Linked DNA regions of Neurospora crassa OR74A. The protein of the gene in region 2 binds, or shares a complex with, the protein of the main gene of each other region. Links are inferred from orthologs where the notes say so. Each region holds a gene or a part of one and is shown on either strand. Other genes may lie near its edges. The genes, in order: ilv-4 and NCU07982.

Region 1 (7,829 bases), on a different chromosome or scaffold from region 2:
TCGGTAGTGATAGACTCGAGCGCCAAGTTTGTCGGCTCGATGACGATGGCCTCCTTGGCATATTTCTCAACCGCAGCTGGAACAAAAAAAGCGCCAATAGCGATGGAGGCTGCGAGCCCCATCAACAATAGCGCGGCGATAATGGAGGGCCATCGCGTCGACTTCGTGGTCGACCGCGCTGGTGCTACTCCATCTCCAGAATGAGAAGCCCCAGCCGAGACCAAAGAAGCTCTGTCTGGATCATCGCGTCCGTCATGGCGTGGTGTTGTGTTGGACGTCGAAAGCAGAGGCGTAGATTCGAGTGCTCCATCGGTTAAATCGGCCAGTGTTTTGGTATCCCTACTGCTTGTCGACGCCGCGAGCAGAGGGGACCGCTCGGTTTCGAAGTCGGAAGACGACATGTCGAAATGATTGTGCTGGATTCGGTTCTCAAGCCCTCATGAATGAAGTGTAAAGACTGAAATGGGCAATGAGTGGATGAATGATCGCAGGCAGACGAGCAATGGTAGATTGCCGTGAAGCTTGGACGCTCCTGCGATAACGACAACGGACGAGTTAAACGGTCGGGTGTTGGCAGGGAGGTACCTCTAGATACTAGGTTGATCAAGGATAAGATGGACTGGTAGGCTAGAAGAACTCGATATAATGAACAATATGTCTAGGGAAATTGATGAGAATGAATCGAAGAAGTATAGTATGGACGATTTATACTGGAATGCTGTTGCAACAAAGCAGGACGGTTGGTGTTTCGGCGACGTTGAGATTGAAGTTGGGCTCGCAGCCGACACATCAAGTCTTCGGATATGGAGGTACCTAGATCACGAGCCATGCACTAACAACATGATGCGTGAGTTGGCACTATTCTACAGGCTGACAGTGCCTTCATGCAGTTAAGGTAGTGCTGCACCAAGACGGGACTACACCAAAATAGCGGCTTCTACACTAGTGTATGCCCACAAGGTTGCCCTGTGCGCGACCGGGATCAGCTTCCGCTTAGGATGATTGGTCCTGCCGTGCCTGCATGGCTCTTGGTTTGCGTGACCTCCGGCGCCGGAACACGGAAGGAAACTCTTTGCCCTCACCCTTCCGCGAGGTCGCGATGGGACCGGTGACCGGATGTGCCTGTTCCCCTCGTCGGTTGCATCCAAATTCCCAGTGGATGGATGATGGACGATTGAACGGCATGCCCCTGGGTGGGGCCGCAACCCCGAACTTGGAGAAGCCCAGTCCCGCCAGCGGGCTTGCCCAGAGGCTCCAGACACCCCACCGGCTTGTCCCGTCGTGGTGTGGAGTGAAGCTCAAGTAACCAACCATTAAACAAGCTCCAATTCGTCAGACCTGCATGTACCCGTCCCTCACACTAAGTCTAGGGTTCTTATCCTGAATGACACACCTCATGCTGAGCTCCATTGGCGGTTGGAGGCGGGAATCAGCTGTGGCTGGGCTATTTGATTGTGAGCGTGAAGGAACTGAGTATGTAAGACCGCTCAAAGAGAGAGAAAAAGATAAAAGCAAGAAGGATAAAATAAAGAGTTGGAAGACAAACGTGCAGATAGCCGGTATCGGTGCAGTTTCAAAATCAAATTGTTGTGCAATTCAACTCTTGGCTGTTATCTTTTGGCCCAAGAGACCTATTCCCTGCTACCAAGCTCATCCCCGTAAGGGCCCTCAACAGTGAGCTACTTAATCGTCTTGTTCCTTGACTGTGGGTTTTGCAGACTGGGAAGAGGCTATTCCGAAAGTCTGGGGCTGAAAAGAGAAAGGACGAAAGACCAGGGTACCTGTGAAGAGTCACGGTTCGCGAATTGATTCATGAAGGAAGTGGAAAGGGCCTTGATAAACACTACCTCCTAGTACTGCAGCTTTCCCCCCAGGGCCACTCTTCCTGGCTGACTCACTTTCCCACTTCTTTCACAACTCATCTCTCATTTCTTAAGATACCCCATTGCACTTTTTCTTCGTTTGACATTTCTCTCCTTCCTTGTCCTCACCAGATACCCGTCTCACCTCACCATCGCCATCATGATGTCCCGGGCAACTACTCGCACCATCAAGTCCGCTGTCGGACAAATCCAGGCTCGCTCTGTGTCCAACAGCGCCGCCAGCAGTACCCCCCGCCATCTTCTCTCCATCAGCCAGCTTAGCCCTGCCGAGTTCTCCAAGCTTGTCCTCAATGCTTCTGCTTACAAGCAGGCCACCAAGGCCGCCTTCGCTGCTGGCCCCGGCCAGGTACCCCGCACTTTGGACGGCAAGCTAAAGGGACGGACCGTGGCCATGATGTTCAGCAAGCGAAGCACCAGGACCCGTGTCTCGACCGAGGCCGCTGTGGCCCTCATGGGCGGCCACCCCATGTTCCTCGGCAAGGATGACATCCAACTGGGTGTAAGTGTTAACTACCGTCTCGGCTCCATCGTCCCTCCCCTTGCCTAAAGGAGACACATACATGCGCAACGACCAGCACCTCGATCGCTAACGACACTTTCCACAGGTCAACGAGTCTCTCTATGACACTTCCAAGGTCATCTCCTCCATGACCTCGTGCATGGTAGCCCGCGTCGGTCCTCACTCCGACGTCGCCGACCTCGCCAGGGACTCATCGGTACCTGTCATCAACGCCCTGTCCGATGACTTCCACCCGCTCCAGGCCATTGCCGACTTCCAGACCATCCACGAGGCTTTTGCCACCAAGCCCGCCCACGAGGCCAGCCTCGGACTCGAGGGCATGAAGGTCGCCTGGGTCGGCGACTCTAACAACGTACTTTTCGACATGGCTACCGCCTGCGTCATGCTGGGCGTCGACATTGCCGTCGCCTCGCCCGCCGGCTACGGCATTCCCGACCGCATGAAGCAGATCATCCTCAGCGTCGCCGAGGGCGTTGCCAAGCCCGGCAAGCTGATCGAGACTACGGTCCCCGAGGAGGCTGTCAAGGACGCTGATATCTTGGTTACCGATACCTGGGTGTCCATGGGTCAGGAGGCCGAGACCCAGAGGCGTCTCAAGGCGTTTGCCGGCTTCCAGATAACCAACGAGCTGGCTAAGCGTGGCGGCGCGAAGCCCGGCTGGAAGTTCATGCACTGCCTTCCTAGGCACCCTGAGGAGGTTGATGACGAGGTTTTCTATGGTCCTCAGTCCTTGGTCTTCCCCGAGCCGAAAATAGGCTCTGGGCTGCCGTCTGTAAGTGAAGCGATCTTATTCTGCCCCGCGGATGAAGCTTGAGCTAATCACGTTTGTGCTTTTACCTAGCTGCCCTTGAGGCTTTCGTCGTCAACAACGGTAGGATACTTTGAGCAGAAGCGATATGACAAGGTTTCTTTTGGTTGCATCTTGGTTCTATCCACTCTTCGTACATCGTAAGCATATCATGGCAGCAGTAAGGCAGGCGTTGTATTCCATGGGTTAAGGGGGTTTGGTTGGTTAATATAACCATATTCTCAGTTACACACAAAAGTTCTTGGCTTTTTTTTTTCCCTCCTTCACATCGGTTCGTCTTATTGTATTCTATCTAGACGGGTAATAAGACAAAAGAGAAACGACATAAAATGATGACAGATTTTTCGAGATGCTGCAAAAGGCTGATCAACTACTTTTCATGTGATTCTTGTAACGCCGCTGCAGCTATTAGAATAGACGAGGCACATGAAGACAATTCTGCAAAGTGCGAAAATAAGAGGACCAATTGACCAATCCGATCCACAACTCCTGGGTAAATCCTTTCCCATTTTTCCCCCATTCCTTTTGCACACACCATCCCACATTTAACCAGGGGGAAGCTGGCTAGCATCAACAACGTCATCGGCCTCCTTCACATGGGTCTCCTCGCCGTGCTCGTAGAGAGGAGAGCGGGGCAGGGCCATGAGACCAGTACGGGCGGACTCAAGAATGCCGAAGGGGGCAATGAGCTTGAGGAAAGAGTCGATTCTGACGGGCTTCGCGGAGCTGTGGAAGAGTGGTTAGTAAGTAAGCTTGACAGGGGCGCGAGACCAAAGGGTGAATCAAACTTACACTTCGACAATGCAGCTGTTAGTGCTAATATCCAATACCTTGCCGCCGAACTGGTGGGTGAAGTATGTGATGCTCTTGAGATGCTCATGCTTGTGCCTCAACGCCTCGCTGGCGACCAAGCGGCTGGGGTGGAAGTCCTTGGCAGTCTCCTCCAGGCTGTGCTCGCCGCCATTCTCGAGCTTGCCAGATTCGCCCTCGGTGGCCTCGGCGGTGATCTCGCGGTGGTGAGCGAGAAGTTCCTCAAAGTACTCGGGGCCGAGAATGTTGATCTTGGCCAAGAGCAACTCTCTCTGCACGAGAGCGGCCTTGCTGTAGTCGAGAACGGCCCAGACGGGGACCAAGTCCTCCAACTGCCTGCGCGCCTGCTCAACGACACCGTCCTGACCGGTCAGGACAATGGTCATGCGGGAGAGATCATCAACCTCGGTGTTGCAAACAACGAGCGAGTCGATGTTGAAGCCTCTGGCGGCCAAGATACCCGAGACGCGCGACAGCACACCAGGCTCGTTCTGGACCAAGCAGTTCAGGATGTGACGCTTGGGAGGGGCGAGCGAGGGGGAGGGCGTCTCGTAGAGGATGTTGGAAACGGCGGCCTGGGCGGACGACCAGGCAGGAGGAGCGTCGGCAGCGGGGAGAGGCGCATGGCGGCGGCGGATGGCCTTGTAGGCAATGGCAGAGGTCGAGCTGCTGTGGGAGCTGTACCGGACGCCAATGGCCGCCGGAAGAGACTGCCGGGCGACGGGAGCGGCATCCCTTGCCTTCGCCGATATCCGGCGCAGTGGCGCGGACATCACGAGGCCGCGAGACGCCATGGTCGTCGCGAGTATAATGTATAGAGAGAGGGAAGTTTGCTTCACTGCCCCTCGTGCAAATCGATCCGGAGCCGACGAGTACGTATGCTACGGTGGTGGTGAGCTGGGAGGGGGGAGGTATGTACAGACAGATGGAGGCACGAGGTGGGTTGGAGGATGGCAACGAGGTGAGGAAATGGATGGATCAAACCCACTGGATATGTTTTCACCAGCCGCTAGTGACTCACCCGAACATCGGAGCTCGATGGAGGATCAGTGATTAACACAGGGCTCTAGACGTGGCTCCAGGCCCTCGTTGCTAGCGGGATGCACTGGCGATGTGACCGATGTGACCGCCGATTGTGGAGGCCAACATGGATCGACCAATGTAAAACAGAGGAGCCCCAGCTACTTAGTCCCAAGCTCGGGTTGCCGAATGGTAGTGTCGCAAATTTGCCTGTCTGCCGGCCGAAGCCCGCCCGGGCCTCCAGTCGTGGCAGTTGAAGCTTCGTTGTGGTGCCGTTTTTTGTTCAACCTACCTCTAGGTAGCTTATCGGCATTGTAGTGTAGCTTGACGCAGTCGGCTGGACACTCAGAGGAATGAAAGACAATCAATGGGACACTCAGCAAATTATCTCAGCCATGTTGGCCTAATATGTCATGATTCGACCATTGTATTCAGATGAAAAAGTGGAAAAGTCCGTCGCAACCGGAGCGCAGACATCCAAACTCGGTGTTGCTCAACGTCCCGTCTGAAAGATCCGTCGTCCAACTGGCAATCTGAACTTCAGTTGTCGGGTACTTACTACTTTCCCGGAACTTCTACCGGACAGGGCGCCGTGCACCTTCATGGCCCGGCGATACTTCAGTTATCTGCCGCTTCCACTTCTGCAATGCGGTCCTGAGATCGAGAGCCCAAACCACCAAACCGGAAACGATCCACAGCATTTTGGGTCCAAAGAGCCAATCACAGACAAACCTGACGGCGCGCCCGATGCTCCACGTCTCACAGCCTCGTGGGTTTTCACAAGTCTCCACAGCCAACCCTTTCCCTTTGACGGGACAGGCTTAAATGTCATGCACTGCCGGCTGGTGTCTTCAAAAGGTCACGGTCCAACTCCAACTAGTGCTAGTGGTCTTCAACACAGGCGGCCCGTTTTCTTTTTCGTCCTTGTCAAGTTCAGAGTCCAACAATTCTTACCAGGCATCCACTGATCGTTTCTATTCCTGGGCGCGACACATCACGCCTCCATCAGCAGCCCATTCGACACATTTAAGAACCCAACCCGGCACCCGACCGAATCGCTCCGAATATGGACGACGCAGAACGTCGGAGCGCGAAGCGCTCTCGCTTTGACCAGACCGAGCCTGAACCCAAAAGAGTATCACGCTTCGACCGCCGGTCTCGTTCTCCTCCCGCGAGGAAGTCGGACTCCGGCCGGGATCGCGACCGCAGCCCTCTTTCCAAACCCCGTGATAGCGCGACTCCCGATTCCACAAAGCCAGCAGTTGACCCTGCTGCTGCCGCTGGTATGCATTTAGCTCGCGATATAGAGGCCTTTTATATCAATTGTCGCTAACCGCTTTGTAGCTGCCGCTGCCGCCCGTATTCAAGCCCAGCTACAGGCTCGGAAAGGAATCCAACATGTCGATGTCCCACCCGTTCGATCTGCCGGTACCAGAGAGGGCAGCGTCCCCGCGAATATCAATGGAGAGATGTACATTTCCGATGGAGACTTCATCAAGGATATCGAGGTCAACGATCTCCGTAACAGATATCTCTTGACAAAGGGTTCGACCCAGAAAATGGTAATTACTCCTTGGTTAACCCACTCATCGACTGTCAGCATTCGCGAGACCGCATCTGTCTTGTTAGCGTCTCCGTTCATGCTGTACAATCTTGTGCGAGATACTCTTGCTTACAGGAGGCATGGTAGCTCGCACAGGGCCATCCACATTGCAATTGCTGACCTTGGCTGCTTGAATATAGATCAAAGATGAGACTGGTGCCGGTATGCCTCGCCTTTATACACGTTAAGTTTGGAGAACTGTTCATTGACCGTTTTCTGTTCAAAGATGTCACCACTCGCGGTAGCTACTACCCCGACAAGAGCATGGCGACACCTGCGGTATGTGATTGCTTCTCGAGACTGGTCTACAAGTTCTCGTTGCTGACGCATTTGACTTCAGAACCCTCCGCTGTATTTGCATGTCACGAGCACGACCAAGGAAGGTTTGGAAAAGGCCGTCGCCAAAATCGAAGAAATGATGAAACAGGAACTTCCTCAACTCGTTGACGAACGTCGGTTCCGCCGCAGGGACCAGGAACAAGTCGAACGTGATGAATACGGTCGTGTAAGTCCAAAGGCCCCTCAGCTATGTTCAACTGGGGCTAACGTGTTTTCAAGCGCAAATGGCCGGAAGAGAGAATCCCCATCAATCTTGAACCCGTCCCAGGATTCAACCTCCGCGCCCAGGTGGTTGGTCATGGTGGCGCTTACGTCAAGCATATCCAACAGGAGACTGGCTGCCGAGTCCAAATCAAGGGCCGTGGCTCCGGTTACATCGAGGCATCAACAGGCCGCGAGAGTGACGACGACATGTATCTGCATGTCGCTGGTCCCGATCCTAAGATGGTAGAGAAAGCCAAGGAGCTTTGCGAGGATCTGATGGAGAACGTCAAACAACAGTATGAAGAGTTCAAGAGTCGTCCGCCCCGCCAGTACAACGGTCCTAGGGATTACCGTGATCGGGAGCGGGAGCCCAGAGGTGGCGACTCTTACCATGGGCGGGGCTACAACAACAACAACAGCAACAACAACAACCACAGAGATCACCATCATGGCGGGCACCACGACAACAGCCATCACAGCAGCTACACCAACTCGCCTGCTCCTGGTGGTGGCCCTTCGGTCGCGCCCCCTACTCCCACGGCTCCTGCAGCGGCCACGACGGATTATGCTGCCCAATATGCCCAATACTACGGCGGCGCTGCCGCTACTGACCCTTATGCTGCAGCTGGTGCGGCTGACCCA
Region 2 (8,402 bases):
TGCTCCGGTAAGGAGATTGATGACGACGGAGACGTTGTCGACTACAAGGGTACTGTCATCGGCCACTGCACACTCCTCGAGGATCTTAGAGAAGAGGAGTCGCCCGAGGAAAAGGAGAAGAGGGAGCAGGCCGAGAAGGACAAGAAGCTGGCTCTCCAGATGGCTGTCTGCATTGAGCAGTGTCTTGACAAGATTCGCCCGCTTTGCAAGATGATCACCGAGGTGAGTTTCTCACGTGTATTACTTTGATCACTTACCTATCAGTCACTGACCAGCGAGTTTTGAACAACAGAAAATCGACAAGGCCGAACGCACTCCCGAGGATGAGCGTGACGAAGAGGCGCTCGTCAGGGAAGTCAAGCCTTTGATCGAGGAAGGTGGTCGTATCCTCACCGAGGCCAAAGGTATCATTAAAGGCCTCGACCCCGATGGCCGCATCGCAGCCAACGCCAAGCACAAGACTGCCTCGCGCGAGGCCACTCCTGAGGAGTACCATTTGGCTGAGGTCCTCAAAGACCTCACTGGTGACATTACGCAGTGCATCGAGAACGCCAAGAGAAAGCTTGAAGACATGCCTCATGCGAAGAAGGAGCTCAACCCTCTCTGGGGTCTTCTCAACGAGCCCCTCTTCCAGATCCTGGCTGCCGTTGGCTTGCTTCTGGCCGGTGTTCTTAACCTTGTCGGCAGATTGGTAGGTGTACACATATCTACCCGTCATTTTCTTGCTCTGGCGAATGGTGCTAACAGAGTTGTGCAGCTGAGCGGTCTCGGTCTTGGTGGGCTCGTCGACGGCCTTTTGGGAACACTTGGTCTCAACCGCGTCCTTGAGGGTCTTGGTCTTGGATCCCTTACCAAGAGTTTGACTGGAGCCAGCAAGAAGAAGAACAGTGGTCTCTTGGGCCTTGGTGGCTAGATGTGTACGGGAAAATGGGATGTTTTGGTCGTGGAATGTTTGGATATGGTAATGTTAATTGTCCTGATAAGTTAATGTGTGTCATGAACCCGGTTTGCGAATGTTAGTCTAGCTTCTTTCCAAGATCTTGGTTAAATGGTTCAGTGTTTACAGTCGAGTGTCCTACTCTAATATTCAGTCATTCTTCCCTCTCTTGTCCTACAGTGACAGTCAAAAAAATATTGTCACCCCTTACCCTATTAGACGTGTGGGGGAGGGTGACAGTATTTTTTGATCATGAGTTTAGAAAAAAGTTGCGAAATCTTGGATGACAAGAGACTTATTAATAGGCATATGAATTCCAAGCTTTGTATCACGACAAGGGCAATGGACCTTTTCGAAACCCTTGAGAAGAGTTGGATCCAGGGCCAAAAAGGACAGGCGTCGAATTACACTTGATCAGGAGAAGTTGACTCACCACCTAAAAATGTTAGTGTGAGCAACCCGAGCGGACGGTTCGCTTCCCCTACCCACTGCATGTCGAGTGGAACAGTCAACAACGAAACAGACCTCAGAGACCGTATCCTGGCTGGCATGAAACGGATGGAGTTAGCAGATCTCGACTATGTACATATCACCGCCAATGCCCCGTGGTGTTGTCTCTCTTATCGCCGGCCACGTCAACTGTCAAGACGGGAGTGACGACGCCGTCAAGGCTATGAGTACGTGCGTATCATGATGTTTGTTGAACCCTTGGAAGAACGGCCAAGAGCGGGAAAACGGCCTTCGGTGCATGCTCGGCAGTTGTTGTTGACATGGACAAGGATGAGAGGCTCTCACCAAGGAAACATTTCTGGAGCCGTGGATCGGTGGACTCTGTGGGTTCAGCGTGGACTGGGTGGGACCAGAGAAAAGGGTGGACGGCAGCGCAAGTGGATTTGCGGGGAGTGGTGTGGGCGATATCGGAGGTAGCAATTTGACTGTCGCAGCTCAATGCTGGAGACGTGATTGGTCAATTCGGCCACAGCTCGCAGTCCCAAAGAAGAACCTTGACGGTTGGTAATATTGGTGATGGTCGGTAGCGACGTCGGAGCACCTATTTAGACATGCCTAACCTTCGTTGCAAGGTTGGTTTTGGTTGTTATTGACTTTGTGGTAGTGAGAATGAAGCTATTCAGGAACGATGAAAGGGCAATATGAGAGCAAACTTGGAAGGCGGAAAGTCACCCCCCACATAGTATTCGTTGTTCTGAGGATTCGTGGCTGCCATGTGTGACACTAGCGATGCAGGGAAACGGGACCAGTACTTAGCGTTGGCCCAAATACGTCGACGGTGAAGCTGGTGGAATGTAGTCGCACGACCACATCATTGTCGGGCTAGATATTCGCCATTTTCGAGTTATGAAACTATTTGTTTATCATTTTGGAAGACATTTACGATGAAGTAGTGCTAGCCATGATCACGGAAAGCATGATTGCTGTGACGCTGCTTGCCCTTCTCCACCGAAACATAGTGGTGAAGGTGGAGGTGGCCTTTTCTCCGAATTTTTGATGAATTCCCGAACAAACATCGGTCCGCAGTCACGTTCCCTCGCTCCCCCGCCGTTGCAGAGTGCCGTGCCGTACCTGTGATTTTCCTGGTGCCGTCCGTGATTGGTCTTGACGGTGCCTTGCCCTGCATGTTTGTGCCTGACGTGTAGTCGTACTGACGGGATATTGGATGACTCCAACTGGGACAACCCACACACTCTTCCGTCGGCTGTCCGCTGTGTCGCGTGTGTCCCAACAAGGAACCAACTACATAATCGTGTTCAGAGTCAAATGTTACCGTCTTCTTTTTCGGTACGGGTTCGGGGATGCTAGGAATATAGACAGAACGTAAAAGACGAAGCTAAACAAGGGTGGCGGGTCTTGCGAGGCTCGGACAGAAGGAGCCGGCCGGCTGTTTCGTGGACCACCACAAGACGAGATCAAAGCGTCTACAAGATGGAGCAAGACACTTCAGTTGAAAGCTAAACACTTCCTATTCACAACCGCCACACCGAATTCCATCTTGCCTTCTGGTGGAAAGATGAGAAATGTCCAAAAGTTCAAAGGAATCGGCAGAACCCAGAGCCAATCACAGGCTCGTGCACCGTAGTGGCTGCTTCCGAAATCGCCACTACACTTTGCCAGCAACAAGCCGCTAGCGACCTGTCATTGGCTGAGATCACCCAAACCTGGCCTCTCGAGTTCCACCCGCCTGACTGTCGCGACCAGAGTACCCCACACTTTATGACTATCGTGCCGGCCAGAGTCAAATTTTTGAGCCCGGGCGGCGGTTCGACTCACATTGCTCCCGGTTCCCGGACGGTCTCGGTCTGGTAGTCGCTACACTGACCACCACACTGCACTGCATTGATTGATTCATCAATTGTCATCTAATAAAGTACAACAAGAGACACTCGCTTTCTTCGTAAGTCTGTCTTCTTGCTCCCTTTTCTACCCTTCCGCCAACCCCATCATCCATCATAAAATCCTTTGATGTTTTCCTAGTATTACAGGAATCACCTACAATCCTCCCTAATTTCTATTTCCTGCTGCGTCCTCAGCCGACGATATTCTCCTCTAACAAAGCCACTGTTTGATATAGCTTGTGGTCCCCCCGCCGCCGCCCGCGTGTAACAGCAATTCGTTATCCTCCCAACCGCTCCCAGTAGACCATATATATCCTCCAAGGCCGCGATGCTCCGATCACGTCAGGCCGCTCGCGCCTTGAAGGCGTTGACTGAGGCGCAACATATCTCCCAGCGTACCACCCTCTCTGCCTCCCAGAGGGCCGCTGTTCTTCTCACAAACCGCTCCGTGCAAACGAGGAATCAGTCCACTGCCGCAGCGTATGTCTTTCTCCAAAAAATATCCCTTGGCCCGGTTGCCGCCCCCTTCTACCAGTGACTCACGACCATCTAGAGATAGTCAGTGACAAGGCTAACATACACAACTAACACAGCGCGACGAGACCTACCCCTAGCCAACATTTCCAGCCTGAGCCTACACCTAGCAATGTTCAGCCTCTGGCCGGGCGCAAGCCCGACATGGACGAGTCGTATGTTCTATGCCCCGTCACAGCGAGTACGGATGTGATCTGGCCAGGCTAACAAGATATCCGTTATGCAGCTTCATCGGCAAGACCGGTGGTGAAATCTTCCATGAGATGATGCTCAGACACGGCGTTAAGCACATTTTCGGCTATCCTGGCGGTGCCATTCTCCCCGTCTTCGATGCCATCTACAACTCTCCCCATTTCGATTTCGTCCTCCCCCGCCACGAACAAGGTGCTGGTCACATGGCTGAGGGTTATGCCCGTGCTTCTGGCAAGCCCGGTGTCGTCCTCGTCACCTCCGGTCCCGGTGCCACCAACGTCGTTACCCCCATGGCCGATGCCCTTGCCGACGGTACTCCCATGGTTGTCTTCTCCGGCCAGGTCCCCACCACCGCCATTGGCAGCGATGCTTTCCAGGAGGCCGACGTCATTGGTATTTCTAGAGCCTGCACCAAGTGGAACGTCATGGTGAAGAGTGTCGCCGAGCTTCCCCGCCGCATTAACGAGGCCTTCGAGATCGCTACTAGCGGCAGACCTGGTCCCGTCCTCGTCGATCTCCCCAAGGATATCACCGCTGGTATCCTTCGCCGGGCCATCCCCACCGACACCGCCATCCCCACCAGCCCTAGTGCCGCCTCCCGCGCTGCCATTGAGCTGAGCCGCAAGCAGCTCGATGCCTCGATCCAGCGTGTTGCCAAGCTCGTCAACATTGCCAAGAAGCCCGTCATCTACGCCGGCCACGGTGTTGTCCAGTCTAAGGGCGGTCCTGCGCTCCTCCGCGCCCTTTCCGAGAAGGCCTCTATCCCCGTCACCACCACCCTCCACGGTCTTGGTGCTTTCGATGAGCTCGATGAAAAGTCTCTTCACATGCTCGGTATGCACGGTGCCGCCTACGCCAACATGGCCGTCCAGGAGGCTGATTTGATCATCTGCCTGGGTGGCCGTTTCGACGACCGTGTCACTCTTAACCTCAACAAGTTTGCTCCCGCTGCTAAGGCTGCCGCTGCCGAGGGTCGCGGTGGCATCGTCCACTTCGAGATTCTTCCCAAGAACATCAACAAGGTCGTCCAGGCTACCGAGGCTGTCGAGGGTGATGTTGCCACCAACATTGAGCTCCTCATCCCTCAGGTTGACGCCAAGACCATGGCCGACCGCAAGGAGTGGTTCGGCAAGATCAACGAGTGGAAGTCCAAGTGGCCTCTTTCCGACTACGAGCGCGCCGAGCGCACCGGTCTGATCAAGCCCCAGACCCTCATCGAGGAGCTCAGCAAGCTCACCGAGGGCCGCAAGGAGAACACCTACATTGCCACTGGTGTCGGCCAGCATCAGATGTGGACCGCTCAGCACTTCCGCTGGCGCCACCCCCGTACCATGATCACCTCCGGTGGTCTCGGTACCATGGGCTTCGGTCTCCCCGCCGCCATCGGCGCCAAGGTTGCCAAGCCCGATGCTCTTGTCATTGACATCGACGGCGACGCCTCCTTCGGCATGACCCTCACCGAGCTCTCCACCGCTGCTCAGTTCAACATTGGCGTCAAGGTCATCGTCCTCAACAACGAGGAGCAGGGCATGGTCACGCAGTGGCAGAACCTCTTCTACGACGACCGCTACTCGCACACCCATCAGAAGAACCCCGACTTCGTCAAGCTTGCTGATGCCATGGGCGTCCAGTCTAAGCGCATCATCAAGCCCGAGGAGGTCGTCGAGGGTCTCAAGTGGCTCATCGACTCGGAGGGCCCCGCCCTTCTCGAGGTCGTCACTGACAAGAAGGTTCCCGTCCTCCCTATGGTCCCTGCCGGCTGCGGTCTGGATGAGTTCATCACCTTCGACCAGGAGCGTGACAGGAAGCGTCGTGAGCTGATGGTCAAGCGTACCGGTGGTGTCCACGGTCTTTAAATGTTTTATCGTTTACATCGATTTGGATCTATTCCATATGGCGATGAAGATGGATGGATAACATGTGGTGTTGGTCAAAAATGGGGATTTTCCTTTCGGCGTTTTACAAGCTGTATGTCTTTTTTTACAACTGCATTACCGGGACAAGAAAAAGGGTCTGTGTTGTTGGTGATCCGGCAACGTTCGGCGAGGGATCTATTTCCATGATTTGGTTGGGGTGAAGTGAAAACGCATATTCTACTTTTCGTTTTCAAGGGCTGCATGCGCGTATTCTTACCTCCGGGAGGAGGGAAAGAAAAGAGTGCAAAAGGTGACTTTCGATCACACAAGGAGGTTGTGTGTGGGTACAACAAGCATAAATCTGTTTGATGAAGTTGCGACTGCTTTGCGGGCCTGTATATATTTTTATTTCCTTGAATGACTGGATACCACGATTTTTCCTTGCGCAATCACAGTTCTATCGCATCCAAGCATCACCTTAACCCAAACCGGTGACACTCGTAGACCATGAAATCATATATACCCACCCACCTTGTTGGTATTTGTGCATTTCATGAGTTTGTATGCCTACAGATGTTACCTCCAGTTCATGGACGGTATCACGATGCCGTCGTTGCCGAGGAAACGCATCACAACAATTGTTTAGCAAGCAATAGGGGTAAACCCGAGTTCATTAACCCCAAGTGTGTACAACCATTTTTTTTTCCTTCTCTAAGCTACCCTAGATAACCCGCCGACCCACGCCATTTCTTTGCTCAGGGTAGGAGTAATAGAGGTACTTGTGTGCGCGAAGCCAGAAACAGAAAGCAAAGATTCAATAAAAATCATCCATCAACCCATCCAACGCTCCCGTCCCGCGAAGAACAAACTTCGCTCTTTCCCTCCGGATCATATGTTACGCATGACCGTCACATTACACTGTTATACCTATTCCCCCTTTCCAATGCCTCCCCCCTTCATCCACCCCACGCATGAATTCCGAAATCTGTGGATGGATGCAAAAAGCAAAAACGAAAACCAACAGACAGTAATGATGCGAGGGAGCAATCATCGTCTGGGTAATGTTCGTCGTGCACGAAGCTTTAGAGGAAGGTTACTTCGTGTGGTGCGAAGCCTGGATAGCGGTCTGGATACAACATACGGGTTAGCAATTAGCCATTGGGTTGGTGGATCTTGGAGGAGAACAGAAGTGGCTTGAAGGCCAAGATAAACATTCGAATGGCCGCAGGCTCGGGCTACTAATGGGCTCTGTCCAATCGACAACCTGACCGTGACAGCGATGGGACAATGGTGAAAAACCAGACTACTATCATCATCATCCTCATCTAACTGAGTCTCGGCCGCAACAACGGACTTAACTTAGACAACCGTCCACTCTTCTTCCTCCACCAAGAAGTCCAAGGCTGCCGCGCCTGGGACTTCTTGGTGGAGGAAGAAGAAGGAAGGTTCTGTTTCAAAAAAGACACCAAAGGGGGAGTTAGACAACCAAACCAAACGAAACGGAACAAACAAAACGCAAGGAGGAATGGAATGAATGCTTGAGACAGAGAGAGGAGAGAGAGAAAAAGAAACAACGTACCGGGCAGTTCTCGCAAGCACAGTCTCCCGGCGTACAAGTGCAGCTACCAGTATGGCCGCAATCGCACGTCTGTGCCGGCTTGGTGGCTACTGGCTTGTCGCGGGTCTCCGAAGCAGCAGCAGCGCCAGTGGAAGGGCCCGTGTTGGTGCCTGAGCCGGAGCTCATGTCGGCCTTGGTAGACGGTTTATCGGACATTGTGACTTTTAACTAGTAGGGTGGTGTTTTGGGTGCGCCCAAGTGGAAGTGGAATGTGTGTTTGGCTGAGTTGGGTTGTTGCGCTGGAGTCAAATATGGTGTGTTCGGTGCTGGTCGGTGATGGGGTGGAGAGAAGATCCGGTAGAGGTGATGAGGTGATGAGGTGATGAGAGGATGGGGGGGTTATATAGCTAATAGTGGGAGGGCTGGGTTACGGCTGATGGACTTCGGATGGGAAACGATGAATGGAAGGGAGAGATGCAGTAGAGGAAGATTGGAGTAGTGGCGAGGTGACGTAAGTGCGGTTTAGAAAAGTTTAGAGTGGTGATGGTGAAAGGGATCATGGGTTGGATACGGGCAAGAACGGGCAAAGCGGGCGAGAGCGGTCGTGAACTGAGTAACATGGACGGACCAAGGTGGACATGAGCTACTAGGTAGAGGTACCTAACCAACCCCTCTGGGAACTGAACACACCTAAAGCTATGAGGAGCTCTCGAGAATTTGAGGAAGTCGAGTCGAGGAATCCAAGTCTTCTGACTCTGCGCATCGTGGTTCGTCAATCGAAACGGTAGTGACGATAAACCTTTCTCTTCACAGTTTTCGGAATAAGAGCTCACGGGCTCAAGGACATCACAAGGTCTCTGCGAGCAACCACGAGCTAAGCGGAAGATTGTCCGAGCGCAGAGCAATCGTCATACCTTCCGTGCGTCCGCTGGAGTGAGGAGAAAGGTCAGCCTTGAGGTATTAGGTTATTGGGT

Evidence for each region.
Region 1: the proteins of NCU07982 (region 2) and ilv-4 are in contact, whole or in part, in a crystal structure (PDB 6U9D), measured with the Saccharomyces cerevisiae proteins. The link is inferred for Neurospora crassa OR74A from reciprocal best matches to the Saccharomyces cerevisiae genes ILV2 and ILV6. Residues at the interface, in NP_013826.1 of Saccharomyces cerevisiae: Arg211, Lys215, Trp216, Asn217, Ile236, Pro269, Ser270, Ala272, Leu273, Pro410, Lys411, Ile413, Asn414, Lys415; in NP_009918.1 of Saccharomyces cerevisiae: Gln85, Glu87, Ser92, Arg93, Arg101, Gln134, Arg137, Gln138, Glu140, Asp141, Leu142, Val143, Pro144, Val145, Tyr146, Ala147.

Annotation. Positions count from the first base shown.
Region 1 is NC_026502.1:2,757,595-2,765,423, forward strand, and holds ilv-4 (acetolactate synthase small subunit), read right to left. Parts: upstream 5,152-7,829; 5' UTR 4,816-5,151; coding exon 4,004-4,815; intron 3,938-4,003; coding exon 3,757-3,937; 3' UTR 3,369-3,756; downstream 1-3,368. Other genes in the region: NCU01668 (hypothetical protein), read right to left, coding at 1-401; arg-12 (ornithine carbamoyltransferase), read left to right, coding at 2,023-2,382, 2,489-3,175, 3,245-3,355; NCU01665 (KH domain-containing protein), read left to right, coding at 6,108-6,324, 6,386-6,603, 6,785-6,806, 6,871-6,923, 6,985-7,149, 7,203-7,829. UniProt on the Saccharomyces cerevisiae protein: Regulatory subunit of mitochondrial acetolactate synthase, which catalyzes the first of a series of common steps in the biosynthesis of the branched-chain amino acids.
Region 2 is NC_026504.1:3,793,415-3,801,816, forward strand, and holds NCU07982 (acetolactate synthase, variant), read left to right. Parts: upstream 1-3,187; 5' UTR 3,188-3,347; exon of another isoform or gene 3,348-3,524; 5' UTR 3,525-3,616; coding exon 3,617-3,768; intron 3,769-3,881; coding exon 3,882-3,977; intron 3,978-4,048; coding exon 4,049-5,870; 3' UTR 5,871-6,339; downstream 6,340-8,402. Other genes in the region: NCU07981 (hypothetical protein), read left to right, coding at 1-222, 293-691, 758-913; NCU07983 (hypothetical protein), read right to left, coding at 6,964-6,996, 7,450-7,644. UniProt on the Saccharomyces cerevisiae protein: Catalytic subunit of mitochondrial acetolactate synthase, which catalyzes the first of a series of common steps in the biosynthesis of the branched-chain amino acids.